Linked DNA regions of Alligator mississippiensis. The protein of the gene in region 2 interacts with the protein of the main gene of each other region in a pairwise test. Links are inferred from orthologs where the notes say so. Each region holds a gene or a part of one and is shown on either strand. Other genes may lie near its edges.

What was found.
Region 1: the proteins of SDCBP (region 2) and FTH1 interact in a two-hybrid assay, tested with the Homo sapiens proteins (2 studies listed by BioGRID and IntAct). The two-hybrid records come from large-scale screens. The link is inferred for Alligator mississippiensis from reciprocal best matches to the Homo sapiens genes SDCBP and FTH1.
Region 3: the proteins of SDCBP (region 2) and SMARCA2 interact in binary tests that used the Homo sapiens proteins (3 or more experiments, as listed by UniProt). The two-hybrid records come from large-scale screens. The link is inferred for Alligator mississippiensis from reciprocal best matches to the Homo sapiens genes SDCBP and SMARCA2.

The regions. Positions count from the first base shown.
Region 1 is NC_081825.1:179,163,862-179,174,228, forward strand, and holds the start of FTH1 (ferritin heavy chain), read right to left. Parts: upstream 4,822-10,367; 5' UTR 4,659-4,821; coding exon 4,548-4,658; intron 2,705-4,547; coding exon 2,558-2,704; intron 762-2,557; coding exon 636-761; intron 1-635. UniProt on the Homo sapiens protein: Stores iron in a soluble, non-toxic, readily available form. Important for iron homeostasis. Has ferroxidase activity. Iron is taken up in the ferrous form and deposited as ferric hydroxides after oxidation. Also plays a role in delivery of iron to cells.
Region 2 is NC_081826.1:69,521,882-69,532,292, forward strand, and holds the start of SDCBP (syntenin-1), read right to left. Parts: upstream 4,855-10,411; 5' UTR 4,746-4,854; intron 1,259-4,745; 5' UTR 1,244-1,258; coding exon 1,193-1,243; intron 1-1,192. UniProt on the Homo sapiens protein: Multifunctional adapter protein involved in diverse array of functions including trafficking of transmembrane proteins, neuro and immunomodulation, exosome biogenesis, and tumorigenesis.
Region 3 is NC_081826.1:191,851,091-191,861,006, forward strand, and holds the start of SMARCA2 (probable global transcription activator SNF2L2), read right to left. Parts: upstream 4,822-9,916; 5' UTR 4,719-4,821; intron 3,913-4,718; exon of another isoform or gene 3,816-3,912; intron 3,275-3,815; exon of another isoform or gene 2,726-3,274; intron 1-2,725. UniProt on the Homo sapiens protein: ATPase involved in transcriptional activation and repression of select genes by chromatin remodeling (alteration of DNA-nucleosome topology).

The sequences.
Region 1 (10,367 bases), on a different chromosome or scaffold from region 2:
AACAAGCTATTGATTAGAACTAAGCTTACCTATTCCAGATGGGTAGTCAAGGGTATGTTCTTAGCTCCAGAACAAGTCAGTTAACTCAATACTATACTTGAATGAAGGGTTGTATCAGGTGTGGTAGTGCATGACAGTCCTGCACAATCTGTATGTACACACCATGCATTTTTCCACAGTAACCTTCCCCCCACCCCACCATCTAATTAACTTTTTTCCAGGAGGTGAGTAGCTGCATTATGTTAACTCTAGGCCAGGGGTTCTCAATCCCTGGGCTGCAGCCTGGTGCTGGGCCATGGCAGGTCGGATGCCAGACTGGAAGTGGCCGCAGACCAGCAAACTGCAGCCCCCCAGAGCTGAGCGAAGAAGTTGTGGCAGCACAGAGTTTGCCCCCCGCCCAGGGGGTGGGGGTATCCTTATCTGTCTCCCAGCCAGAAAGTCCGGCCACGGTCAGCTGTGACTGCTCGGTTGCGGTTTGCCAGGCTGTGGCATAAAAACTTTGGGAACCCCTGCCCAAGGCAAAGTAGTAAGATACTTGCTGCTTTCTTGAGATACCAGGCCATGGGGCCAAAGACTGTGTGCGACTGTACCCTTTTAGACCTCCATATTCTACCCATGTTTCAACTTCCACTTACGTGAGGGTCATTCTTCTCAGTTGCCAGCTTGTGCAGCTCCAAGAGTGACTGGTTCACATTCTTTTCCAGATGCAAGGCACACTCCATTGCTGTCAATCCATTCTCCCAGTCATCACGGTCTGGTTTCTATGAGGAAAGCACAAGACCTCAACTAATCTTCTAGAGACCAAACACAGGAGCAGTAGGTCAATGAGACAAAGCAATCTTTGTTCTTAGTCATGCTGAAACCCTGATTTGATAGGATCTCAGCTTGAAAGTTACTTTTGAAGTTTAAAAGCCACCTTAGAAGATAGTAAGCTTGAAGAGTTGATAGCGCTTGTATGGAGAAGGCATTTGAGAATCCATGTGCTTCTTAAAAATAGACCACCATATTCCAGCACATACTCCATAGAGAACACTTGGTTACTAGAAATACTCATCTATCCAGGTTTTTGGTTTTTTGGGTTTTGTTTTTTGTGGTTTGTTGTTTTTTTTTTGTGGGGGGGGGGGGAGGAAGGCATTGTTTTGCTTGTTTTTAAGTATTCATTAGTATTAGTATTCATCACCTTTTAACATCAGATAACCATACCAAAAGCTATCCTTTTAGGAAGTGCTGATAGTCCAATGGGAAGGACTAATAAGATATGAACAGCTCTATCAGCTTTACTGAAAGTCAGTGGTTTTATTCTTTCTTTAGGTACTGATAGATTCTCTAAACATAGAAACCTCAACACTTGACATGTTGAAATGTCATCACTTGGACAAGAAACATAGGCTAGAAGAGCAAGACTGAATGAAGTGTTATGAGGGAAGACTCACCAGCACCCTAAGTGTTACAGGGTCTTCAACTAGAAGTCACTGATCTGAGTCAAGAGTAACTCCAGAATGAGTGTAAAAAGGAAGAGATGAGTACCCAGAACCTGGTATGGGGATTGAGCTGGGAACCTGGCTCCCACATTTAATTCAGGAACCAGTGAAGTTCACATGGTTACTGCTGTTCTCAAAAAAACCTAAGAACATATACTCATGAACAGCCCAATTTAAGAGCATGTGGTACAGAAGGGATGGTCTATCTGTAGCATGTATGCCACAAGTGGCATAAACAGCCTGTGTGTGGCACGCAGCATATTGGGGAGGGGCGCTGGCAGCACAGTGGCAGATAAGGCAAGATGCAGAAAGCAGCAGATCAGACAAAGGAATGGGATCAAAATGGAATATGGCAGGTATGTCCCTCACCCTGCCTGTCTAAGAAGGTTGGTTCCCACTGTGGTACAGAAATAGGGGGCAGGGAGAAGGGACTAAGAGGAAATGCATGAAAATAAGATGGATAGAAAACTATGCACCTGCTTTTTATAGCAGTATTCTCTTGTATTTGTCATTTTTGCTTTGACATTAGATACTTCCACAATAAGGAAGAACTTGGAACATTGCAGTGTCAGAATCACAACACATGGCGGCTCAGGTTGATTATCTATACTGGCTGAAGGTCTGTTCAGTACCAGCTCCCAGCTCAGCTACTCCTACGGGATCCTGTGGTGAAGGCACAGCATGCCATTGGAACCACCATCATAATTTCCATGTTTCCATGGTAACCATGGATCTAAAAAGAACATCACATCACTGCAACACAAAGCACAAGCTGGGCTGAGGGAATGCCCCTGTGTAAACCTCACAAAACAGACCAGCAGAAAAATTTAGACAGCTGCTTGCTTAGTGCAACTCCAGCCCTATACACACATCTCATCCTTTCTTTACAACGCACACCAGCATTAGAGTGGCCGTCAGGTCAGTGTTGTTCACCAGTCCCTCACTTACTGTCATGACAGTCTGCACCGACTTAGAAACTCCTCCCCTTCCAGCCTGGGCCTAGCTTTAGAAGACAGAGGTTGGCTGCAGGTCCAATGTACTCTGTGTCCTTGAGGTGCATTTGCAGTGCTGCTCACCTTGATGTCATGCAGGAAGATGCGACCACCCCGCTGATTCTGCAGTTTCATCAGTTTCTCAGCGTGTTCACGCTCTTCGTGCGACTGGTGCAGGAAATACTTGGCAAAGTTTTTCAGAGCCACATCATCACGGTCAAAATAGTAAGACTGAAAACAAAATTAAGATACTAAAGACTTTGGCCAACAAGTCTCACAGCTATAAGGAGCAAATCTGCTACAAACCCAGATATTCTCAGTATTGCCCTAACTATACAGTAGCCAGACCAACGGAGAAGCAGCTGCCATGATGGCAAAAGTTTACTGGTAGGAGAGCTTGTAGTAATTTGCCATTTAACCAACTGACAATGGCTATTAACTGCCCTCAAGATTGGTGGGACAGCTCCCACCAAGAGCTCAGCTATTCTACTACCCAATACCAGATATTAAGTAGCTCACTATGCCTCTTTCTCATGCTGTGACCAAAGTCTAGACATAATCATAGCTTAGATTTCCAAGACTGAAATGGGTATTCTTCACCTGAGCAACACTTCACAAATTATAGAATCATAGAAAACTAGGGTTGGAAGGGACCACGGGAGGTCACATCCAGTCCAACCCCTGCTCAAAGTAGGAGCATCCCCAACTAGATCATCCCAACCAAGGCTTTGTCTAGCTGGGTCTTAAAAACCTCCAAGGATAGAGACTCCACAACCTCTCTGGGTAGTCTGTTGTAGTGCTTTACTGACCTCCCGGTGAGAAAGCTTTTCCTAATATCTAACCCAAATTTCCCTTTATACAACTTGAGACTGTTGCTCCCTGTTCCATCATCTGCCACCACTCAGAACAGTCTAGCTCAGTGGTTTTCAACTCCATGGTCCATGGACACCTGGGGGTTTGTAAACTTGTCTAAGGGATCTACAAAAGATGATTATGATCAATCAAAAGTATACAAATACCCACACTTACAATTCAAAGGGGCCTGTACCACCATTACAGTTTTTAGGGGGTCACAAATGGGGGGGAGGAAAAAAAGAAAGGTTGAGAACTACTGGTTTAGCTTCAACCTCCCTGCAAGTAGTCAGAGGCTACTAAATCCCCTCAGTCTTCTCCAGACTAAAGCCCAGGGTGCCTCAGCCTCTCCCAAAATGATGCTGGAAGACCAACTGCAGCAGGGAGACAGTGCCGTGTTCATGTTCCCCATCTTACTTGCCCACCCAACACCAACACTCAGACTGGCTGTCTAGAGAGCAATGCTACTCCAAACATCCATGAAGAGGGCGATTTTGACAGTTCTGGGGCCAACCTCGCTTTGCTGAGCCTAGCTTCAGAAGGTAAAGTGCGAGGCACGCCCCTGCATGTGCTGGGAGAGGAGAAGATGTCTGCCAACCAAGGCACTACGCACGGCTGCACCGTGGGGAACACGCTTGGCAAGTCAGGAGCCCGGGGGAGGGGCCGCAGTAGCGAATCCCGCTCTGAACAAGCCCGGATGCCTGGAGCTGGCACAAGGATGCACCCCTGCTCTTCCACACTAGGGCTCAGAGCCACCCCCCCGGCCTTGTTACCCACAAGGCACAGCCCAGCTAGAGCACTGCAGTTGGCGCCCACCAGCCCCGGGATGCGCTGCACTAAGCGCAGGGGAGCCGCAGCCCGGGAGCAGCAGGCCTGTGCGCCCGAGGCCCAGCTGCGGGCTCCCCGGGGAGGAGAAGGGAGGGGGGCGGCGCCGCCCGCTATCGCGCGCCAGGTGCGGCCGGGCCCCGCGATAACAGCCCCTGCAGGGCCCCGCGCGCTGGGCGGCACCAACTGCGCCACCGCCACGGTCGGGGCCGCCACCACTCCCGCCCCCCCCCCACTCCGGGCACCAACTTGGTACAGCCCCCCCAGCCTCCGCGGCGCCTACTTGGTACTCCCCCCAGCTCTGAGGTGGTATGTGTCGCCCCAGCCACGGCGCTGAGATGGTATGCCCCCCGCGGAGGGGGTTGGTACGGCCCGAGGGCGAGGACGGGGCGCTTACCATGCTGAGGTACACGTAGGAGGCGTAGAGCTCCAGGTTGATCTGCCGGTTGACGGCGGCCTCGCAGTCCTGGTGGTAGTTCTGCCGCACCTGAGAAGGGGACGTGGCCATGGCGATGGCGGGGCTACGGCTTCGGCGAGGAGGGTCGGAGCGGGCAGAAGCGGCGGCAGGTTCCGTCCAAACACTGTTGAAGCAGGAACCGCCCCCGCTAGGCTGGCGCGACGCTGCGCTTTGCTAGGCTACAAGTACGAAGGGACTGTGCCTTCTGAGCGCAACCCCCCCTGCGGCAGCTGCCTTTATAGACCGCGGCGCGTCACGACGTGGGCGGGGCCCCGGCGCGTGGGTTACGTCGTGGCCACGCCCAGCTCAGCCTTCTGCTCCGGCGAGGGGGGCGCGCTCCCTGGGGCACCGCGGTGTGACTCAGCAGGCGCCCGCACGGCTGCTTGCCCCGCCCCTCCCTGCCTGGGCACGAGGCGGCGGTTGCGCCTGGGGCGCTGCTACCCCTGGGCCACGCGCGCACGCCCACACCCGGGCAGCTGGCCCGGGCCCCGTGCACACCACAAACACGTGCACAGCTGTGCAGCTGGCCCAGGTCCCTTGTACGTCACACACGTGCACATGCGCACAACCATGCCGCTGGACAGGGTCCCTTGCAACATACATGCGCATGCGCAATCAGGTAGCTGGCCTCGGTCCCTTGTACCCCCCCCTCCCGCCACACACACGCACGCACGCACGCACGCACACTCACGCTACGGAAACTTAAAAACATAGACCACCTTCCCAGCAACACACTCCTAGCCACCATGGATGTTACCAGCCTATACACCAACATCCCACACCAGGATGGCATCCATGCCTGCCTTACATATCTACAGGAACAAGATTACAACCCAGAATACAGACCCAAAGATATCGCTGAGCTTATACACTTCACCCTCACACACAACAATTTCACTTTTAATAATCAACACTTCCTCCAGACGATGGGAACAGCTATGGGCATTAAAATGGCCCCACAGTATGCCAACCTTTTTATGAGCCACCTGGAAGAAGACTTCCTCAAGAACTGTACCATCAAACCCTTGCTGTACTTACGATATATCGATGACATCTTCATCATTTGGAGTGAGAACCTGCAAACTCTGATTGAGTTCCACCAGAATGACTACTACACATACACACACACACACACACACCATGCCACTGGCCCATGTCCCTTTTACCCCCCCCAACACATACACATACAAAACCATGCCATTGGCCAGAGTCCCTTGTAACACCCATACGCACATGCGCACAACCATGTCGCTGGCCTGGGTCCCTTGTACCTCCCTCCCAACACACACAACCATGCCACTCGCCAGGGTCCCTTGTAATGCACATACACACAAACATAAGCATGTCGAGTGCCCAAGTCCCTTATACCCCCCCCCCCACAAATATAAACACAACCATGCCACTGTCCCATGCCACTTGTACTCCACGCACATACACAACCATGCCGCCAGCCAGGGTCCCTTGTAATACACACACAACCATACTACTGTCCCGTGCCCCTTGTACCCCCACACACATGCAGATACACATACACAACCATGCCACTGGCATGTAGCGCCCCCCTCCGGCCGCATGATCACCCAGGTTGTGGACACCCCAAGGCAGGTCTCCTCCTATACCAGAAACACTGCCCCTGAGCCTTTGGGGATTTCCGTTCGGCTTTCAATGTGATGTAGGACCTAAGAAACCAGAGTGGAGTCATTCTTACTCAGTCCACTAAAAAGAGCGGCTACGTGTGCACAATTCATGACGTGATCTCACCGAGACTTCACTTTCATGGCAGGGGGACATGTTGTGGCAGAGGGCACATCCGCGCCTGTGGCGCTCCGTGACAAGACATTCTGCAGTGTCTCTCCTGCGGAAGATCACACAGAGCTCTGCAAACGCTTTGAATAAAGAGTTGCCATTGTGGCTTCTGTGGCTCTCCCTGGCTTTATGGAGGGCTGGCTACAAACAGAAATAAGGAAGCATGGGAATGCTTTGTCCTGAGATGGGGTCTGTCAGTGCTCAGATCTGGTTTCCTTCTGTGAAGCAGAGGGGCATTGGTATCGCAACTGAGGTAGTTGGTTTCCAACAACTAAATTGCCTTGCATAAAAAACAATTCAAAAAGCCAGAATGACCCAAAACTTCCAGACTGTAAAATAAAGGCAAATGCAGCCCTTATTTACCTCTATACCACTCCCATGATATCATCAGTCCCAGAGTAGTAAACAACACAATTTTGCCTGAAGGACCTGAAAGAAATTAAGTTAGGGGTTACTGTTGTTCCAAGAGAATTAAAACTAGTTGGCTTTAATTACTACAATATTAAACAACCCAACTGCCTAACAATTAAGGTATTCTAGAAAAAAAAAGTTTCCTCATAATCACAACCCACTTATCAGTTATTTTTCGAGCGGCTTGTTTTGAAGATGAGAGGACTTACACAGGAAATGAGTGTTACATTATTGGGTAACAATGATCGCCTATTCAGGTTTGACATCACAATAGGCAGAGATTTCATGGAGATCACACAACAAGAGTGAACTATTTTAAACTGGAGAGGAACAGTGTGAAAAACCTATTGACCTGGGTGCTATTTACAGGAAAATAAGTAACCATCATATAAAGGGCAAAGTTCCTGGTAAGTCAGCAGGAACAAATGTAATTGTAAAATACTGCAACTCATCCAAGTTGTTACTGGGATTAGCATTAGGGCCTGGAGTTCATTTTATACCTACTTGAAGAAGTGAACAGCAAGTTGTAGCAGGGCAATGATGTAGGAGGATATGACACTAAAGAAGAAGCCTAGTAAGAAACGGAACATATTCCTGGCTTTAATCACTGATCTGCATTACGGTTATATAATGAGAGGTGTCAGCATCCATTGACTGCACAGTTAATGGAGTACATACCTTTTTAATTCAAATTGAATGCAAATAAAGACATGAATGGAGTTAAAATAAGAATAAAAAATTAACATGGCCATTTAAAAATAAAGTAGGAAGTCAAGGATGAAAACTTAGGTAAAAAGGTAGAAAATTTGCACCCTTTGTAAAGATGAATATTTTGTCTCATTCAGTACTACTAAACCCCAAGAATTCAAAAACCATGATTTTCTTTCCTTTTTTCTTTGATAAATAAACATTGTATTCTTTGAATTGTTGCATGGTTACTGAGCTGTTTGCATGCACTTGGGTCACAAACGTAACCATGAAGGCTAGGCGCTTCCTCTTTCAATTGAAAGCTGAGGTTACCACATAAACCTGTGATTTTAGAAGCTAGGACTTCAAGAAATACACCAAATATCACAGGAATCCAGATAAAAGGACAAGAGTTTATTTGATATTGTCAGTGATAGTACACTTTGGTGGTGTGTAGATGTCTTCAGACCCTCCTCTAGAACTGCCCATCAGTTGCTTTGGCAGGTTGCTAGCCATGCTTCCCCACACACCTTACAGTCCCCCAACTTACAAATAAGATAGCTCTTTGACATTCTTTTCTTAGTATTCTTCATGTTCTAGTTTTCCGGTACATTGCTCCTTTTGCAATTACTTCCGACTTACTATGCTTGACTCGAGAAGCTTGCTGGATCCTGGTTATTGTTTCTCTGTCCCTGATAAACCTGGACATTGGTGACTGTGACAGATCATTTCAAAGTGTGTTGTAGTATTCTAACAATACTCAGCCTGCAAAGATTTCATTCTTAATCAAGTTCTGAGCTATTTGAACTGATTCCTGCTAACCCCTTGAGTAGGCAAGAAATGCCATCTCAATCACTGGTAAATTGTGAGTCACTTTATTTACTTTCTGGCACCTCCTAGTGTTTACAACACATTCTTGCCTTGTTATTTGAAGTATTGTGCAACACCTCTGCTTAAAAAACAATTCAATTGTAGTTCACTAATGAAAGGTAATCTTTACATTTGATTCAAATAGTCCTTGGGCTAAGGCTGACTAGGAGTGTCACGCAGTTTCATTCGTCAGGTATCCAAAGTGTAACCGTATTGGTCTGGAGGCAAAAGGAATCAGAACTTGTGGTAGAGGTGATACCTTTTATTAGGCCAACTAGATTTTTGCAAAAAAAAAGAAATCTTTAATTGCTGAAAGCTTGCAATTAAATAATTTTTAAAAGATATCACCTCTACCACGAGTTCTGATTCCATGTAGTTTCATCGGCTCTTTTAGCGAAGGCTATTGCTTGGATTCCCAGATTTGCATTAGCTAAATAAATAAATTGGCTCTTTTGAACTCTGCTTACGCAGGTTGTAACTTGCACACTTACATATTTTACTTTCTATTATAGTGTTCATGCTCAGCTAGAACCAGACATTTCAGGCTCTGCCCTTCCACTTCATATCCATGTGGCCACTGTGGAGTATGCTGTGCATTTCCAACATCAGTGTCTGGTTTTACAATAGTGTCCTTTATCCAGAATTCATCACATGTGACAATTTCATGTTCATAGTTTCAATAAAAGTTCAGCTTGAAGTACTTAAGATTCTTCTTTTGGCTATCCCTTTAGAATTATTCTCCCAAGCTTGTGTAGGGCTGTATTTTTCATTTGGGTTTGCCCAATTTTGTTTTAGAAATGGTGGTGTGTGTCACATTATCTTCACCTTCTTTTCCTTAAAACTTCTGGCTATAATAAGACAGTCCTGCTATAAACCACTTACCTGACCTGTATTTCATATTTCCTGTGTACCCATGCTTCATAATCATTTCCTGAAGTCTTGATGGTGCTTTGTACAATCATTTCCTAGCCCAGGGGTTTTCAACCTGTGGTCCATGGACTCCCAGCAGTCCACAGAGTATATCTAAGTGGTCCACAAAAGATGACTATGATCAATCAAAAGTAAGTGAATACCCACACTTACAATTCTAAGGGGTCCGCACCTCCGTTCAAAATGTCCAAAGGGGTCTGTACCTCCATTCAAAATAGGTTAGGCAAATTAAATGAAAGCAAAGCAAATGAAAAATGGTTGAAAACCACTGGCCAAGACTATTGTTTCCAGGGGTTTAATTTTTTTCTCTTCTAGTTGATTACTGTTCATAGTTATATACATGAAACTGCTCACAATTACAGTTTCCATTTTTTTTTTTTTTCAATCTTGGCATGGTTTTGCAGTGCTTTAGTCAGTGCTCAAAGAAAAGAACACTACAGTCCAAACTTATTCCTTCTAGGCAATCAGTAACAACCCCTTTACTTATAAAAACCTCACAATTGCCCAGCAACCCTGCTAATGTGAAGCCAATGCACCCTAGATTTGTATCCATATCGGCTCTGAGCTGCTGCTGTTGCTACTACTGTTGACTGAATTGTTGCCGAGATAGAACCATTCTTCATACCGCCCATGGGCAGAAATAAATGTATTATCTGCCTACACATGCTCCAGATTGTTGAAGGCAGTTCCTGTTTACCTTTGGACAAGAGCCCATGGAAAAAAATGGAACCAGCTCCCATGTTATATACAGTTCAGCCATTATGCACAGGAGGGAGTGTAATTCAGTGGTTAGATCACAGGCCAGGATATCAGGAGTTTTAGGGACAATAATACTTACAGTCCTCAAATAAGGGCTGGAGGGATTTTGTGTGCGCTACACAGTTTGAAGTCCTCTGATGATTTGTGCTTGAGAATGCAAAGCATTATGATGTTCTAAGACTGAGTGAGATACAGATTTACTGGTATCTGGTACGAAGTTGCTGTTGCCTTTCTATAAACACCTCAGGCTGCTTGTCTCTGCAAGAAGTAAGGAAAACTAGCAAAACACCAACATAG
Region 2 (10,411 bases):
AGAATTGAAAGGTCTTTATATGGTTTGGGCACTAGGCAGCATTAAAATAAAGCTTTCCATCACGCTAGGGCTGCTTGCAGACATTAAACCTCCCCTCTGCGCAACAACCCCCCCAGTAAAAGGCCCCAATAAAAGGCACTTTAAGCTTGGCGTGTTCCTGCACTGAGCCCAGCGCATGCCCAGAAAAGGTAGCATGCTAGTTGGACCTAGCTTGCCCAGTGTCTTTATAGATCAGGTACTTTAGTAGGGCTTTTTGGTGCTTTTATCTAATAGCTGATTGAATCAGCTTTAAATCAAAGTGCCAAAAAGCCCCACTGAAATGCCTGATCTATATAGATGCTGTGGATCCAAACCAAAGTAACATGCTGCCTCTTCTACTAAAGCATGGGGTTTTTTGGGTTTTGTTTTGGGGTTTGTTTGGTTTTTTTTTTAACATCTGCAAACAGCCTAGATTCAAGAGAATCAAAGAATCATTTCACTGCCACTTTCAGTGATAAAGAGCAGTCCATTTCCATAACATTAGAGATCAATTAACAATTAAAAACAGAAGATTCAAACGATAGTTAAGATTTTAAATTATGTCCCAATCTGTTTCCCTTGGGTTAGAGACCAGATGTTGAACATATACATGTTCTGGCATCTTACAATAATTTACTTTGAAATCAAAAACTTCAGGTAGAAGTAAGCAATTTGGCAGATATTAACTCCTTTCAATAATAACATGCACTCTAAGTGAGACTATGTGCATGGACACTGACCCAAAAGTTGAATAATGAGATTAGTTTTGTTCTCTGAAGCCTGGCAGTTTCTTTTCAGTGGCTTACAAAATGTTCTGATTTAACCTTATCAGTCAGCTTCAGACTCACATGACCAGAGAATTCCTCAACTTCAGCTGGATATCAGTGTATAAGTTATGGAGTTAAAAAAGCAGAACCAAATCATTCGGATCACATGGAAAGCATATTTTGAAATATGTGAGTTTTACAGTTGCGTGACAGTTTTGTGGGATGGAGGTCTACTTAATGTCAAAGAACAGGGAGCTAAACAACTGTTCTACTGCTGAAAAGTGATGATTTAGTAATGGACAAGTGGTTTTAACCCCATATTTTATATGAGGGGGAGGGGAACAATTTTATTACTACTTCAACCGTTCACTAAAACAGATCTAAAGAGTCTATACATTTCATCATACCTGAATTACTTTATCCACCTTCAAATCTTCCAGGGAAGGATAGAGCGACATTTTTATGTAATTTCACTAAAGAAAACAAATAAAATCCAACTTAGCAACTGCACACTTACAGATAAAGTTTTAGTTTGCTTGTTAGATTCTACCTATTAGAAAAGCTGATGCTAAAATACTTACAAGAATCAACCATAATACAGAAGAAAGATAAAGCCTTTGATTGATGCCTGTTGTTTGTTTAAAAAAAAAAAAAAAGTACTTAACGCCCCACTTCACCAGCCCTGTGCACTGGCTCCAAGGCCATTCAGGATTGTACCCCAGGCTGTATATGAGTACTGGCTGTACATGAAGCATGCAGCATCTGTCTGAGACCCACAGGTCAGATCCAGTCCACAGAACCCATGTTTGACACCCCTAAACTAAAGCATTTGAACAAGTTTCGCTGGTTAAGTTCAACTAGTCAACAATTCACTGATCAAAGAACTGGCTTTTATTATACATTAATGCCAATTTAAATCATATTAATAATACCAAGTGGTCTTAAATCTGCCAGAATTTGATAGTTGAGAACAACAGTGAGAAACTAATACAGGCAGTTAGGTCCCTTTTGTACAAGCTATCCCTTGACTCATGACATGATACAAAAGAAAGATTATAGACTTGGAGTCTCACTTAACCATGCATCGCCCCAAGGGATCATATGGAAAGTACAGTGAATGTACTCTACCTTCTCCTGGAACTGGATGGCAACAGGCCAGGCAACCAAAATTTTTCCAAGCCCCATGTATCTGAACCCCCACTGAAGTCAACAGGGGGCTCTACATAAGAGTAATATACAATTTTAGGGGCAAATTTATTGGTAGTTCTTTAAAAGAAAGCAATTTTTAAATGAAATTAGGATTAGGGATAGCAATAAAGCCTGTTGTTCCATATGCTATTTTCAGCCTTGGAATGATTCCCTCTCCTCCTCGCCTCTCCCTCATCAGGTGGGGAGGGGTAAAAGTGTAAAAATCAGTTTCATTTGGACTGTCTATTCCAAATAAATCTTCCTGCTACTTATAAAACGTATGCTCGTTTTAAACAGATTTGCAAATCAGTTGTCTGCGATAGAAACATGCATCCACCTTCAACAATATATAAATCTAAACTAATTAAGACAGTGGTTGTCAACTAGGGGTAATCATACCCATAGAGGTACTTAAAAAGGTCATAGGGGATATGCAGAACCAATGTGGCTGATAAATGACACATGCGTGTAGCTGCAGCACAGCACGCAGGTGACCAGGAGCATATCCAGGTCAGGCTGGTAAGTCTGTTGCGAGGGAAGGGGGGGAAGGGGTACTGAAAACTGATTTTAATAAGGAATTTCGTTGCATCTTAGGTAGTAATAGGTATTCCAATAACCTGACATCTCCAATAATGTAAAGAAGAGTTATATAAAGGGTGCAATTTTTAATAGTAAACCACAGAGACAAAAGTTAGCCTAGATAAAAATTATATTATTCTAGGAAAGGGATCCTTCCCTGCCATATGGGTCAAGTTTGTAGAAGGTCATCTTAGTCTATTATTTATATGCTTATTTATTTTGCATAAAATAGGTAATACAAACTAAAACAAAAGTAAACATTAACAGGAGTTGAGGAACAGGACCAGGTAGGAGAAAAATGGTAATAATCACCAGCACCCTTAGAAAGCTCCTCGTTCATATAGATTACTCGATCCTTAATTCTGATAACCTTTGTCTGGAGACTGACTGCTAGAGAAGTTTTTTCTTGTTCCTTTTCCTTTTCTATGATCTACTTGGGGAAAAATTTACCTGGAGGAACAGAAGTAGGACACTGACAGCTAATCACATGTACACTTCCATTTCCACTGGCTCAACTACTACTATCAAAAATGATATTTTACCTAAAAGATTAATTACTAGTTCAAACTTCAATGCAAAGAAACCCAGAGTTAGGCTAGAAAAATGAGACTTCCAAGAACTAGCAAATTCACAAGCCTCCCCTGTTCTGTCAAAGAGATATGTATTAAAGATATGAAGCCTGAATGTTTGAATTGTCACTTTGCCTACAAATCCTCAGTGACAAAGTATCTTTAGAACTTCAGCTTCCTGCTAGATGACAAGCCTTCTTTTTGGGCAAAACCTTGCAATAGATGAGCAGGTTGACTGACTTCCAACTGACCTGCCCCGACCTATCTGCAGCTGAAGCCAAAATTTCCACTGGTATAGAAGACAAGAAGAAAATCCCTCAGAAGGGAGGAACCACTGATACCACAGTGCCTGGCCCACCATTTTCACGCTAGGGCATTCATGGGTGAGGAGCCATCAGCAACTGCATCTTCATCCACAACCCACTCAAGTTGTTGCTCTCCTCTCAAACACTGGGCACCCTCCTCCTCTCCCCTCTTGTCTTCTATATTCTGATTTCTCTCTCTTCCCACTCTACTTCCTGCGCATTCTTTCACAGCATCTGATGAAGTGAACTTGGGTTCAGGAAAGCTTGTGCTCTCTCTCATATTTTTTCTATACATGCACATACACATATCTACACACGTCTGTGTAGATATGTGCACGCATGTGTGTACACGTTTATACACACAGCAATCAGGGCTCGTGGTAGAGGTGATATCTTGTACTAGACCAAGATTTTTGCAAAAAAAATTGTCTTTAATTGCAAGCTTTCAGGCACAAACACCCTTCATCACCAGGCTTCGGACAGAGGATTATAAAAGTTTCTCCGATGCCTGATGAAGGGTGTTTGTGCCCAAAAGCTTGCAATTAAAGACAATTTTTTTTTGCACAAATCTTGTTGGTCTAATAAAAGATATTATCACCTCCGCCACCAGCTTGTTTTTTCCTTTAGACCCGATTGCTTTTTCCTCTAAACCAAACCAGCTATGGCTTGGATACCTATCTACCTACACACACGCACACTTATATGTATATATCTATACAAATACAAGTACATACCCACAAAATAAACCTTGCGATTACAGAGATTTATCTTGTGTGTACATACACATATAAATACAAGGGGGGGGGGAATGTGTGTGCGTGTACACACGCGCACACAACGTTACGCCGCTAGCGTAGGAGGCTGCGGCCCCCGCCCGACCCGGGACACAGCCGGGAGCGGAGCAGGGCTCTTGGTTGAGGAGCGGCCGCGCTGATCTCGGGCCTCCTGCCGGGCCGGGCTGGGGGCGCCGCCGCCGCCCAAGCAGCCCGTGACGCACCGCTCCACGGCACAGAGCTGCGGCCCGCGGGCGGGACGAGGGCAACAAAAAGCCGGATCCCAGAGAGCCAGCCAGACCACCCCCCTCCCCTCCGCCACGCAGCTCCGACACCGCAGCCTCCCCCGGCCCAGCAGGGAGGGGTTGAGGCGGAGGCAGCGGCCGGGGCCGCCAAGACTAGACGCGGCACCCCTGCCCGCCCCGCCCCGCCCCGCCCCCCGGCGGCCGCGGGGGAGCCGTTCTCAGGGCAAGGGGGGAGCCGCTCCCCCCCCTCGCCCGGGGGCAGAGGTCCGGGCGGGGCGGGGCGGCGCGCGCCGCTACTCACCGTCCGGGCGGCCCGGGGCGAACTGCTGCAGCAGCGACGTCAGCTGGGCCTGGCTCCGTCGCTATGAGGCTACCAGCTGCGGCTCAACGGCTGGCCCCGCCCACGGCGCCGCGCGCATGCGCTGTCCGCCGCCCCGTGACGCAGTGGGGAGTCTCGTACGCTGGGGGAAGCCCGCGGGGGGGCCCGGGGGAAGGGGTGTTGTCCCCTCCCGCCTTGTCCAGGGCCCCGCGCCTGTCGCGCAGCCTGGCGGGTCGGTGTCCGATGTGCCGCCCCGTCGTCTTCTGCTGGTGGCTCCTCTGCCCCCTGCCCTGTTTCCTCGCACCCGTCTCGCAGGCCGGCCTCGCCTTGCTAGGGCTGCTGCGCTGCCGGGAAAGGCGGAGGAAATCAGTCCCCTGCTTCTGCCTCAGGGTCTCCCGCGCCTACAGCCGAGCCGCGCAGACCTGCCCCTGGGACACCCCCGGGGGTAGACCCAGCGCCGCCCCCGTGTCCCGTGTGGATGGGGCCAGGCTGGTCTCGGTGCTGGCAGACGACAGGACAAGGTCTCCGGTTGCATCCAGGGAGCTCTACGTTGGATATTAGGAAACAGTTTTTTCCTAGCAGGGCGGAGAAGCGCTGGAGCAGGCTCCTAGAGAGGTGGTGGGCTCCTCATCCTTGGAGGTTTTTAAACCCAGGATGGATAAAGCTTTGGCTGGGATGATCTAGCTGGGGACGGTCCTGTTCTGAGCAGGGGGTTGGACTAGGCCTCCTGAGGTCCCTTCCAACCCGGATTTTATACCATCTGTTTTGGAGACAGTACCATAGCCAGGACGTTTGGTGCCCAGGGCAAGCCCGCAGCAGCAGCCTGCCCTCACCCACCACGCAGATCCGGGGGCGCCACCCCCCATGCTTGTCCAGGAGTGCATGCAGCTGCAGGAGCTGCCCTCCCCCATCCCTGTGCCCCCCCAAATGAGCCGCTCACGGCTCCATCCTGTGCCCCGCCCTTCACTTTGGCACCCAGAACAGTTGCTCCACTCAAACCACCCGCCTTGCTATGGTACTGTTTGGCAAGGATGCTCCCCGGAGATCTCAGTGCAGCCTGCCCTCTTTGGGTATTTACACATGTGCAAGGTGGCTACTCTGATATGCCGTAAATGCAGGGCGTGGCAGCAAACTCGATTAATCTGCTGGAGTGCAGAAATTAACATGCTCCAGCAGCCTTCAGGATTGCTAGGGTTTGAATTACACTCTGACTCTTGGGGGGGTCTGCGGTGGTTGCAGCCAGAAACCAGAAGGAGTCGCCGCCGGAGCTGCTTAAAAAGAAGCAGGGTGGGCCGGGACCTCCCAGAACATGTCTATAAATGCCCTTTGTTTCTAGACACATGAATGAGACTTGAAACACATGTTGTTTTGATCACTGTTGCTCTTCGATACTGCACTACCCACTGCTTTTTGAAGTGTTGTGTTGCCTTTCCTAATTAAGATTTGTCATAGAGCAGTAGCGCTGGAAGGAACCTCCAGAAGTCATCTAGTGCTAGTGCTGAGGCAGGACCATCCCTATGCAAACCCATACTCCAACCTCTTAGAAAAACTACGGTTGACCCTGAGACAATGCAAGACATAACAAGCTCACCTGCCACATGCAAAGCAGGGGGACCACAGTGGCCAAAACCCTGCTTGTGGAAAAGGTTAATATACACTCAAGAGGTCCCTGGTAGAGGGCCACACCCCCCTTCAGAGGAAGGCAACCCACCCACCCAGTCATCACCAGTCTGATCGTGGAATCAAATTCCTTCTTGACCCCAAATATGGCCATTGGTCTGACCCTGAGCAGAGGGGCAAGACCGTCTATCCAGGACCCTGTAAGTCCAGCAGGAGCACTGGCATACCCCAGTCAAAATCCCTAGCCTTGGCTATAACCAACTCTGTGCCAATAAGGGAAAACCAATCCAATCTCTCTAAGGGAGGCTTCCTACATGTAAGGAACTCTGACATGTAACAGGTTATTGATACAAGTGATGTAACCAAAAACCAAACACTGCTGAGCCTCTCTAGAAACAGTCATTCAAACGTGTTTTCCCCATTGCAAGTGCATACATGCATTTTGAGATATCAGACAATTTTGAATCTAGTTATTGGTGTTCTGTATTTGGATCTTTTTTTTTTTTTTTTTTTAATGTGCAGGGTGGGGGATGGCACTTTCATTAGAGTGGCTTTGAGAGCCGCACAAATTAAGGTGCTGCAATGTCTCCTGTATCAGCATCCCCACTTTTAAAAAGTGGCAGGGCCACTGTAGCTAAAGCTCATTCGATGAGCTATAGTTCAAGTGCTCCCACCACCATTTTTAAGTGTGGGGATGCTGATACATGAGTTGCAAGAGACCACTAGAGCATAGCAATTGCCAAGCATTGAGTCCGCTCTAATGCGCAGTGCATCCGATGCATTGGAGCAGCCTCCGTGCTTGTGTATAGGCACCCCAAGTGTTAGGCCATAACAATGTAAGTGACTTAGAGTCTACAGATTTTCATTACTGTAACTGCAGCTCCTATAGGTAACCCAAGCTAATATTAAGTTTAGCTAGTTAATGAACAACTAGCAGTATAATCCATGAAAGCATGATACACTGTGCAAGCTAGCTTCTCAGGTGAGTTTTGTAGTCAGTGTGTCATGCTGTCCTAGCTATTACCTAAGCTATCTATTATAAAGCTAACTTTGTCAGTAATTCTCAACAAGGGTACCCCGAGGTGTCCCCAGATCTTTTGAAGGGTGCCATGAGGTGTGGGGAGATAAGCAGATAAGCACAGGTTCAGATTTGTCCCTACCTGGCCAGTCCTCCACCACTACTGCCCAGTCCCTCTGCAAGGAAGGAAATACTGCACTATATAAATTAGCTTTTAAAATGGAAATACCATATGGAGGGGTGTTTTGAGTCCAGTGAGGGGTGCCTTCTCTTCAAAAAGGTTGAGAACCACTACTTTATGTATAACTGGAGTGCAGTTAGAAGTGAATGCACTTGACATACTCTTGAGCATATTACATCAATGCTATTACCGTCATCAGTTAAACTTGCAATCTCATCAGAACAGAATATCCGATGAATTTTACAGGATCCATTTCCCATAAATTCAGGTTGACTGGCAGCCATTGTATTATCCTCCCTTAATTATTTATGAATTGCATTCCATACTAACAGTGCCATTATTTTGTCTGGATCAAAGCCAGGCTGACAAGTTTATAATGGCTTGTCCCATTTAATCCTTTAAAAAATGTTGGCACAACATTAGCTTTATAGAAAGGGCTTCATTTGCTATTTTTGCTGCTGTCATGCAATCACGAGTAGAGTTTGAATATTCCCCAGCCCATCTGAGTCCACTTATGTGGACCAAAAGTTCCCCAGTGAGGCTTTTCTGGGCTGGTTTTGATTGTCCGCTCTTGAGTCCTCTGTCTCTGGCAGACACTAAGATAAGTCTGGAACAGCACTGGGGGACAAACCTTCTGAGCATTGTGTGCGGGCTGGGAGCAGTCCGAGGCTTTCAGGGGCGCGCGGCGGACTGTGGCCAGCAGCCCTGGCACGTGGGTTGGGGAATTCGGCACGGCGGACTAGAATTAGGCACGGATGTGTAGCGGTTGATTAAAGATTATTTTACTTACACTGTAGATGGTCGCGGTGCAGGCAGGAAAAACTTCGCTTAAGTTGCAGTTACAAATGAAAAGAAAACTCGCTCGAACAAGACCCGTAGAAAACTTGAGCCTCTTAAACCCGGAAAGAGCTCTGGATACACACACACGAAGTTTGCTAGGCTCCGTGGACCAAAAGCGCACAGGGAAGGGTACGTCGAGGGATTAGGCGGCGACAGGGAGAGGCTAGAGGTTGATCAGGCCCCTGTATTCTCCTCTAAGGCACACGCGGGGTTTGTTAAGCTCCACAGCACTTAGAGTTCTCCACGAGATGGATGTGGAGTCCTCCTAAATGAGGTCCTCCCTGGAGATCTCCAACTTAGGCGGAAACCGCTCAAGCCTCTTATACGGCTAGCAAGCCAATTGCTAGCCGCCATGTGGGAATAATTTAGAAACAGCCAATAGTGGGACACAAATTTGCATGCGAATGGCGGGAACTCCTTTGCACCAGGGTTTTCTCTATGCAACTGAGAATTGCACCATGCAAAGAAAGCTCCTCGTGGCAGGAAATAATTCTGCAGTGCCGAAGCACACACAAAATCATACCCTTGGGTCATGACACATAGTAGCACATCAGTGGATTGGAGTGGGGCAAGCTCACCCCTGCCTTTCTTGGGGCTCCCTGCTGATGTGGTGTAGATAATTTATATATATTTATAGATGGTTTAGAATTTCCTTATTTCTACTGAACTTTAAGGAAAGCACTTGTTAATTTTATTTATCATTTTCAGAATCATTAATATTGTCATCTGAAGACTTATTTAATAGGACAGCTGCCCACTTCATGGCTCTCTTGGTGAGCTTGGTGTGTAAGCATAATTAGTTGCTTAACAGAAGGGAAGTAAAAGAGTAAAAAACTTTGGGAATGGGAGAGAAAGGGACATGCTGCTGAGTATGGAGGGAAAGGGAGGGGGAATAATTCTTGATTTGGGAACTTTAAAAAGTCTCTAGCTGCTGCTCTCATGGCATGGTCCAAAAGGGGGACGGGTATAACCTCACCACTGCACTGATCTGCCCCTGGATTCACACTAGCATGAGTCCATCATTGGTCAGTGAATTGTAGAGCTGTGACCTAAATTAATGTGGGAGACAAAAGGAGTACGTATAATAACCACACAAGACAGAGAAAGGGAGAGGTAGTGTACTGATTGCAATAATACCACTTAATTACTCAGAGCAAACATAGACATTATCAATTTTGTGCAACTGCTGTTGGACTTTTCCTCACCTTTTATTTTACCATAGAAATTAAAGTCTTGTCTGTCATGGAAAACTACAATAACTGGAGAAATAGTTCAATGGCAATTTGAGAGCCAGTGAAAGCTGAGAGGAAGAGTTTTTAGTTACGCTGTTTAAAACTTTTGAGTTGTATTTAACACCAACATCCAAGTAAATGGTTCTTGAGTTGTTACCACAGTGTTTGCTAACTCATACAGTTGAATCAATTCAGTATAAGCATAAGGGGATCCTAACAGTAACTACATCAAAGAGTAATATTTATAAGTTATTACACAAAGGTCCAAACTTTCACAGCACTTTAATTACTAGAATTGTTTGGAAAATTAAAATCTATTTTTGTGGAAAAACGTCAGCATTTTTTGGTTCAAAACCTATTTCTTATTTTTTAAACATTTTCCTTTTTTTATTATTTTCACCTCCATTACCACTATTCTGCCCTAGTATCATGGACCGGCCCTGAACAGTGATCTCTCTCACACTGGAGAATAAAAAGAATGCAAAAAGGAGTGAAGAAAAAAAGGAGAAAGTGGATGTTTCTTTAATGGATTTTCTTATTCTGGGTTTAACAGGTCTGACATGCTATGAAACTATTTGCTAGAGAAATGTACCTTAGCAACTTGAGATACAAGAAAATATGAGGTTACAGGAACAAGAATAATTAGATATTCTCATAGGAACATCATCTAAATATCCAAAGCTAACTGCTGGATGTAATGTACAACCCCTCCTTCCAACCACCCTCCACCTAAAAAACCCACAACAGAATGCAGTTA
Region 3 (9,916 bases), about 120 Mb from region 2:
CCAGTTCCTGTCTAGAAAGTCTGCTGTTGTGACAGTCCCTTCACCCAGCATTAATAAAATATAAGAGGGGGGAGGTGGAAGGGTGGTAGCAGGGCAACCTGTTGCTAATGAGGGGAGCAGGAAGGCAGTAATAATAGATGTGTTCATAAGGAGGAGACCATTACACATTTCCAACAAAAAAAATCCAGCCACATCCCCAATTTTATAGTCATGTTATGTTTGTAAACTACTGAAGTTATGCATCTAAATGAGGACTTGCTCCTTTGCTCTTCCATCCTCTATTGTATTATCTTGCAAATAAGGCATAAGCTTCCATTTGATGTCATTTTCATGACAAGTGATCTTTAATGTCATAATCCTGCATTTACTTCACAGGAGGATCAATCAGAAAGGAAAAAATTGGGTTGAGGAAGTGTGAAAGGGTGGAGGTCAAGGACACTTGATTTGTATACAAAGATCTTCAATAGCACCAAGAAACACAAACATAGAATAAAAGAATTTTAATTATTTGTATAAGCCTTCTCATGTGTGTTCCTAAATGAAAATTGCCCTTTAGAAAGGAATCACTAGATCACAGTATTATTATTAATCAGGACCATAAAAATTTGCAGAAAGTGCAGACTTTTTTTTAAAGTCACTACTGCGCACATTCTGATCTTAACTTCAAAGTCCAACAAAAAAACTAAAAAAAAAATACATTTGCAGATTTTAATTTAAGTTACAATTCTGTCAAGGATATATTAAATATAGGAAATGCTAGCTGGAACACTTTTTTCTTGTCAATCTCAAGCCTCAGGTGTTGGTCAAAGCACTTTTCAAACTTGACAAAAAATGCTCACAGACCACTTCAGAAATGAACAAAAGAAAAGATCTAAAGACTACTTTGAACATACTCTTGTGGTGCATATGTTCTATGAAACACCATAGTAATGTCAGTCCTAGAGCCGAGCCATGCCTCATGAGAGAAATACTGTATTTAATAAAGCATTACCCTCGCCTGTCAAGTCCACATGTGTTACATGATACAGCTAACTTTGACTTTATTTAAAAATGCTCATTACCCATATAAACCCTTTGCTTTATATTACGGATGTATCACATATGGACACAAAAACCTGTCTCTAATCCTGTCCTTCTGGTACATCATTTTTCCCCCCTCAAGTAACAAAAGGACAAAAGGAAAAAAGTCAGGGGGAATAATAGGGCAATTAGGTCCCCAAAGAGAAAAAGTGTGCCTTGATTTGCATAACAATGCATTCACTCACAGAGCAAAAGCTGCCCCACCTCCTAACATGTAGCTGGTATACTACTAAAGGAAGGGAATTCTGGTTTAACATTCATTGTCCAGAACTCCTGGTTCCACGGCTGGAACTAAGAAAGAGTGAAGAAAAGGATCTAAAATGCAGGCACAAGCGCAAAGGAAACAAAGCTGGAAATGCTACATCACCCAGGCTGCTTTTGAAAGGAAATTAAAATGCCAGCTATAGGTTGTTACCATTTTTACACAAACCTTGTGCCTGTAACTTTCTACCTAACTTATTCACCAACCACCTACAGCCACCACCGGGAAAGAATGACACTCTCTCCTTACAGGACTTTTGATTATCAGACATGAAGGGGAAGACAAGAAAGGAAACTTGAAGAGGAGAACAAGGAAGGAAAACCAGCTCCAAGGCCAGCTCTAGCTTCACACTTTAGATTTAACCACAAGACTTTTTTTTTTTTTTTTTTTTTTATGCTTCTCCAAAGCACATGCACACTGCAGCAAAAAAACCCTCCTGGGTCAGGAACCCCCTGGCTGGTTTGGACTGGCTGCTCTCACACTATCACAGTCCTGTTGGGGGGAAGAAAATGAAGACACTGTATGTACACACATACATACATGCACACACACATACAATCACAAACCTGTTGGAGGAAAAGAAAATGAAGACACTATAGATACATACATACACATACTCATACTATCACAATCCCTGTGGAGGAAAAGAAAATGAAGATGCTATACATACACACACACCACACACATACACACATGTATACACATACACACGTATACTCACATACCACACGTACACACCACACCACACACACCCCACACCCATACAACATACCACACTACACACACACATATACACACACATCACTACATGTGTATACACACAATGTACACACACACACACACACACACACACACACAGAGCCAGGGCCCCAGAGAAGGCTCCTCCAGCAAGGAGATAATGCAACGTGGTGGAGGGGGAGGCAGGGCCATATGTCTTGCAGGCACACTAACTTCAGCCCCCTGGAGATCTCTACTCCGATCCCAGATTGGGAGATAGTCCCGTCCCCCCTCCCGCCGCCCCCCTCCGCTTGGCTCCATTCAATTGCCAGCTTTTTTGCTTTTTTTTTGTATATATTTTTGGCCTTCCCAACACCTCCCCCCCCCTCCGGCTCCCCCTCCAGTGACTCTTCCGGGACGCTGGGGAAATGCATAGGCCTCAACTTTGCCGCTGGAGCGCACGGATCCCGCGGCCCCGAGCGACATGCAGTGCAGGCACCCGGAGCCCGGCCACGTCCCCCAGCTCCCCCTGCCTTTCTGGAAAGTTTGAGCGCCGATCGACGGGCTCCGAGCAGCGCCAGCCCCGCTCCCCGCCCCCCTTCCCACCTCCACCTCCAGCCCGCGCCATGGCAGCGGAGCTCCCCCGGGCCCGCTCCGGGGCTTTACCTTCCCCCGGCCCCGACCTTCGGCCCGGAGCGCTCCCGCCCGCGCGGGGGGGAGCGGGCAGCAGGGTCGGGCGGGAGGGGGCAGCCCGGCCCCCGGCACAGCTAGGCCCGGCTCTCCGCTGCGCGGCTTCCCTCCGTCATCGTGTCATACTGATCAAACATGTCTGTGCGCGCCTGTGTGCGTGTGTGAGCGCCTGTCTCTGCCTGCTGGGACTTCCTGATTCTCTGCTGCCGCTACACACACACGCACCCTCACAGCCACCCCAAACCTCTGCTGCGACTGCCTGATTCTCTGCTGCTACACACACATACACACAACCCCGCACACACACACCAGCCCTCCCAGCCACCTCTTTTACACACATACAACCCTCACAACCACCCCAAACCTCTGCTGCGACTTCCTGATTCTCTGCTGCTGCTGCTGCTACATTCACTCACACACCACACACCACCCCCTCTGGCACACGCACACAACCCCTCCAAACCATCCCAAACCTCTGCTGTGACTTCCTGATTTTCTGCGTCTGCTACACACACACACACACACACACACACACACCAGTCCTCCCAACCACCCCCAAACCTCTCACACACCCCCAAACCTCTGCTGTGACTTTGATTCTCTGCTGCTGCTACACACACACAACCCCCCCACAGACATACACACACAACCCCTCTCACACACACCAGGCCTCCCAGCCACCTCTCTCTCACACACAACCCTCAAAACCACCCTAAACCTGTGCTGTGACTTCCTGAGTCTCTGTCAATGCTGCTCCACACCGTGCACGCACACACGCGCACACACACACACACAAAACCTCTCTCTGTGTCCCTCCAAAGCCCCAGCCACCAAAAGCAACAGAGGCTTAAATCCCCACTCCCCCTCCATTTCCCCTCCCTCTCTCTCTCTCTTTGCACTTCATCAGCCACCCAAAAACTTTTTCTGCCCCCCACCTCCAAAGCCCCCTCCCACTTGGGGCACCTCCCGCCCAGCTCCCCAGCCCCGGATCCGTGCCAGCAGGAAGAGAAAAGCGCCACCCCCTTCCCCCCCAGAAAACAAAATGACTGACATTTTCTGTGCCTACCGGAAATAAAATGCCGGGGGGGGGCCGGTGGCTTTGAAAGCCGGGGGGGGCATCTCGCCAGCGCTTGTTTGGTACCACTGCTGCAAGGCCGGGGGGGGAGCAGCAGCGAGCAGGGCTGGAGGGAGAGGAGCTATTTTAGGAAGTGAATCGCGACACCTTCCAGTCCCCGGCGGAGGGCACCGCCGGCAATTCACAACAGCCCGGCCGAGATGGGAGGAGGCAACAGGAGGGGCTGCAGCACCCCCCTCCCCAAGTCCTGCCCCCCCTTCCCCTGCGCGTGTCATGTTGGTGACAGTCAAGCAGGAGATTATCCTGCTCATGGCCTCCTTTGCTCAGCGGCTCGCTGCTGCTCCTCTCCCGCGCCCCCCCTCCCCAGCACGTCTGTCCAAACACCGGGCATGGGCAGGAGCCCACTCCGCACGGGCCCCTCCTGCTGCCCCGGAGCAGGGCGCGGGGAACTTCAGCCCCAGCAGGAGGCAACCTCCCCCTCCCTCCCACCCCCGGCAGAGCCCCCCGGGGTTGCAAGGTGAGGGCGGGGAGAAAGGAGACAAGCCGGCCCCCCTCGGCCCCGGGCTGCAGCTTCCCGCTGTCCATTTGTGTCCCCGGAGCCCGAGCTGCAGGCACTGTCGCCTCCTGCATCGCCTGACTCACGAGGCAGGAACCCGGGGGAGGCAGGCAGCAAAGGACCGGGCGGGGGAAGGAGAGGAGAGGACGGGAGGGGAAGGGGGGTCCTTCTTCCAGGTCCTTATTGCAAAAAGATATCGCAGCTCAAACTTTCTTCCTCCTCCTGCCGCTGCTGCTGCCTGGGGAGGGGAGATCGGAGGGGGGCCGGGGCTGGGGGCCGGGCCGGGGGGTGCAAGGCGGTGCCGAGCCGGCCGCGGGGCGCGCCGAGCCCCTATTTACCTGGCCCGGAAGCCGCGCGGCGCCGCCGGGGTCCCCGCTCCGTGTGCGCGAGCCTCCCGAGTGCAGCGCCCGCGCGCCGGGGACGAGATTATGAATATGACTTCATTGATGACAGCCGTCCCCTCCTTTCCCCCGGGCTCCGCCCCCGCGCCCCTCCGGCCGCGTGCAGCCATTGGGCGGGCCGCGCCACGCGGGCCCGCCCCCCGCAACTGGGGGGGCAGCGGATTGGCGCTGGGGGGTGTCACTCAAGCAGCTGCCTGTGGAGGGGATGTGGAAGAATGTGGAGGGAGATACACACACACATATACATGTACACACGTACATATACACACACATACCGGGGACGGGGTGCAGGGAGTGTGGGGGGCACAGCCTGCTGACCCCTACCCCTTTACATGCTCCTGGGCGCGCTGGGGGGTGCGTGGGCTGTGCGGAGAGACACGCCAGAGAGAGAGAGAGAGAGAGAGATGGATGGTGGAGTAGTAATAGTAATAATAGTACTTTGGGGGGAAGGTGAGGAAGGTGCTGGAATGTAACTGTGCCTGCCAGGGCGAGCCTGCAGGGATGGAGGGGGAGGAGAGGATGGGGAGGAGCGAGCTGACTGGTACTGGAGGCAGCTGGTTGTACCTGGTGTTTATGTTGGGGGGCAGAGAAGAAAAAGAAGGACATTATTGTCACACAAGCAGAAACTTTTTTATTCAAGTCCACTTAGATCTTCCTTTTGTGGGAAAAGCTGGGGGGGGGAAGGCATCAGAGAACATTCCAGCTGGATGTATCTGCCAGTCAGCTGGGCTTTCAACTTCCTGAGTGCCCCTGAAGGAAGATGCCTCTCCAGGAGCCCAGCTGGCTATTACTTACAGAATATTCCTTCAGAAGACCTGGTTGTTTTGTGTCTGAGCTGGAGCCCCCAACGAACCTAGTCGTCACATGTCACTTGCGTGACCAAAAAGGCTGTGTCTGTGTTAAGTGAGGGGTAGATCTGTTTTTTAGGGTCAGGACATGTCAGTAGTGTCATTTTCTTCATTCCACAGTCTCTCTATGCTTTTCCCCCTGAGAATTTCCAATATATCTGCTTCCAGCCTTGCCAGTGGACAAGCCCAGCATTGTGCAGTCGCAGTCCACTGACCTGAGCTGTAGGTTTAATGAAGATCTAAAAAAGACCTACAGAAGGGATGGTTTAATAAACAGTGTTGTAAAAGATCTCTAAGTTTGGTAGGCCTGTTATTGTACAGTCTGAATAACACAGTCACTTGATTGAAAATTAAAACCCAACCCTACTTGATTCTGTTCCTCTTTATGTAAATGTAATGGGCTTGAATCTTGAATCAGTCATTCTGAGTGCAGCGTGAAAATTTTGTTTTGGATTTTATTTGCTGCCCTAGAGTAAAATTTCACGTTAAGAGAAATTCTAATATTAAAATCACTCACTATATATTTGAGCAATGGTGTTTGAAATGCAGTTTCTTTTTACTGATCTTAGCGACCAACTGGAGTAGTTAAGGACCTGAAGCAATGCCGGGAGCGCTGAATGCTCCATATGGTCATTAAGTGACAGGTATTGTTTACATGTCTGGTCTTTTGCTGGTAGCATTAGGATTTGTAATGGCCCAATTATAATGCTGGGTGTACAATGCTAATTATCACTGATTCTGTAGTTTTTCCAGGATCTTATTACTTGATCATTAACTTGAGCTTCCTAGTTATTTTAAAGTGAGCATCAAAATGATAAAAGATAACTGCACCAAAGAGAATCAGTATTAAGACTGTACAACCCCAAGTAGCCAATAAAAAAGTTGTTCTTCAAAAGAGGAAGCAGGTATTGTCATGTGGTTCAACTGTATCTATAAGAAAGACATACTGGGGAGCAAAATCAATGAAATGATAGAGCTGAATGCAAATGGGAAACTGTGAGTCTGTAAGGAGAAAAAAAAAGCAGATGATCAAATACCCAATAGCAAAGGGTGCTTGTAACTTTTTTTTAATCTACTTAGAATAGGGCATCTCAATCTTAGCTTTGTGTCTATGGCTATGATTTACAATCCAGCATTTTAGAGATAAAAGAATGTAATTAACATGCTTGTGAGAAGCAGCAGAGCACCAATGCAGGGTATTTTTCCTTCCTTAAACATCATCCCTCCATTATACAAGCCACTTCTTTTTTTCCACAGCAAATCTGCAGGCCTTCTGCCCTTTATCTCTGCAGAGGAGAAAACAAGCCTTACCTAAGGGGAAGCTTGTATGCAAGGCAGCTCACCTGCATTGGCCTTGAACTCAGCAGAAATCAAACCAAATGGCCGTTGCTTTCAGTAGAAAGGATACAGCGAGGGCAAAGAATATTAAATTAATCTTTCAGGCAAAATAAAGTGTTCAATTGATGTTAGGGGTAACTGCGCTGATTACTTTTTGTTTGCTGGAAAACATACAGCAGCAGATTTTGTTTGAGGCTATGAGAACTCCAAGATGTTGAATGGATATATTGTTAAAGTAAAGTCAAGCTGAAGGCTTTTTTTTTCCTGTTGGACTTTGATAAAGTATAATTTAATCTCTCTATAGCCTGGTATCAAGGGGATGGAGTCTATCTTTTATGTTACTGCAGACATAGTCTGTTGGCAAAGAAAACTGGACTGAAGTTGATGAAATCATTCAAGAAGTCAGCCTATGGACTTTAGGTTGTTGGTTGTAGCCATGTTGATCTAAAGACATAGGCAGACAAGGTTTTTTGAATAGATGTGAGATCTTTTATTAGACGAACTAAATAGTTGGAAAAATTGTTTTTTGCAAGCTTTCAGGCACAAATACCCTTCTTCAGGCATAGGGAGAGTTTGTTGGTGTGTGTGCTCTCCTGGATAGAATAGAAGCTAATATGCAAAATGCAGCTCTGTGAAAATGCAAATGTGTGACAGTGAGATTCAAAGGGAATGAGAGACATTCCCTTGCAGCTCTGGCATAAACTGTGCCACCCTGGCTCCACCCTGGCTCAAATGGCTGCTGTCCCAGGCACATGTGTAGACTCTGCACCCAGGACTATTTGACTCCAGCGTAAACTACTCCAGAGTTTATTGCTTTGGATTAATTGCATGCACAGAATCACCCATTACAGATTAAAAGGGTAAATTACTCTTAAACTGATTCATCTCTTGTCCATTTCCTCCAAGGGGAAAATGTTAAGGTCACCTAAGTGAATGAATGCTTCAGGATGCCTCATGTACTGTAGAAAGAATTGAAATTTGTCTACATGAACCAGAAGCTACAGTGATATGAAAGTTTCCATCTCAGACCATGTCTACGCTGCATTTACATCCCTACATTTACAATGCGTACATATTCCAGGGGCCTTTGCAGCAGCATCCACCTTTCTGTCTGCAGTTAGACAACCAAGCAGTCCAAAGAGACTAATGTTTCTGCTACCAGAATCAAGACAATACTTGTAAGTGCTCCTGTACCCACTTCTGGAACAGCAGTCTCATCCCAGGGACACTTTGCACACCACCAACAGTAACACAACTGTCTTTTTGTTTTTTGCAAAAATATAAATATATATAACTTTACCTCCAACACTCTGCCAAGTGTCCCTTGTGGTTTACTTGGTAGATTAAAGCACATTTTACTGTCAGGAGCTGCTAGAAGTGCCTGGATTTGGACTTACTCTGGCAATTTGGTAACTGTTGCCTGCTCCCAAAACTTCTGTTGGCAGAAACAAAGAAGTATAATTGACGCAGTGCTCTTGTGTAGATATTCAGAATAAGGCCATTCCCACCTGGGAATTGTACTGCATATCTAAGAGCTTGTCTACACTATAAAGCCTTTGCTATTATATTTATGCCAAAGTAGCTTTGTTGACAGAGCCCCCTAGCAAAGACAGAAGCATCAGCCCATTGTAGTTATTTCTCTGCCATAATAGCTGCACCACCTCTCCAAACAATGTAAGCTGAGGTAGCAGAAGTCCTCTTCTGTCAGTACATCTGTGTCAATGCCAAGGGGTTTGCCAGCATAGCTACGTCAGCTAAAGGTTGCAGTCTATTCACATTTCTGAATGGAAATGATTACATCAACAAAGCTTTTTACTTTTGACCTGGCCTAAGACTCTAAGAGAATTTTACAAATATAAGAATACCAGTTTAGTAAACTTGTCAAATCCTAGCATAGACCCAACTATACCAGCAAAATTGAACTCTATGGGCATGTCCCCACATGCAGGGGCACGCGGTTCCAGCAGCACAAGTAGCAGTGGCAGAAATTTGTGCTGCTGCATTGTGCTTCATCGCATGCCCCTATACATGTGCTTCAGCACACAGCAAATTGTCCCAGGTAGGGGTAGGAGAGGACAGGGCTAGCACCTGTGCTGGCCCTAGCAGTATTACCTGGTGTCCTGGTGCAGCAAGGGTGCAGATCTGACAACATGGAGCCTGACTGGCAGCCAGAACATTGCTCTAGATGGCCAGCCCTCCGTGTGTTCCAGCACACGCTATGGATGCTTGCGCTGCACTGCTTTTTTCCCCAGAATTTGTTTTTGCCACTGGAGTTCCCCAGTAAGAAAGTTTGCCCTCACACTGCAAATTTGCAGCACAGAACACGTTTTAATGTTCTGGGAGTGTCCTTTGTGGTGCCGCAAAGAGGCTTGTGGCACCACAAACCACATGTGCCTGAATATCTGGATGCTCCCTTACTAGTACAGTAGATAAACCTCCGAAACTCTACTGGGGAAAGTTCAGTTTTATCAATATAACCAGTATTACAGGCATCTGTCAACACAGGCATCCTGGTCAGTGATCACAACTGTTCATAACCCTGACAGATGTAGTTATATCAGCTTGTAATATATAATTGTGATGGTAGAGAAGGAAATAGGAGAGAAAGGGAGAGACCCAAGGATAACCCACTTCTATCACTCACCTCAGCTGAAGCAGAGAACACCATTAGGAAGCAGGGTCCTGGGCAACACTTCCAAAGTAGCTGCTTCGTCCAGACTGGTGCTCAGCGGACCCGGGTAGGTACTTTCAGCTCTGGAGAGGGGCCATCCAGAAGAATCCAGAGTTTCAGGAGAGAGAAGACACTGGTGGAACTCTCTTCCCAAGAGTTCCAGGCAGCAGGTGATGACAGAGTAGACCTAGATGCACTGTTTGGCAATCAAAGGAATGCTGAAGAAAGCAGACATCCGGCACTGGATGCCATAATGACCATCAGGGACTCCAGAGCAA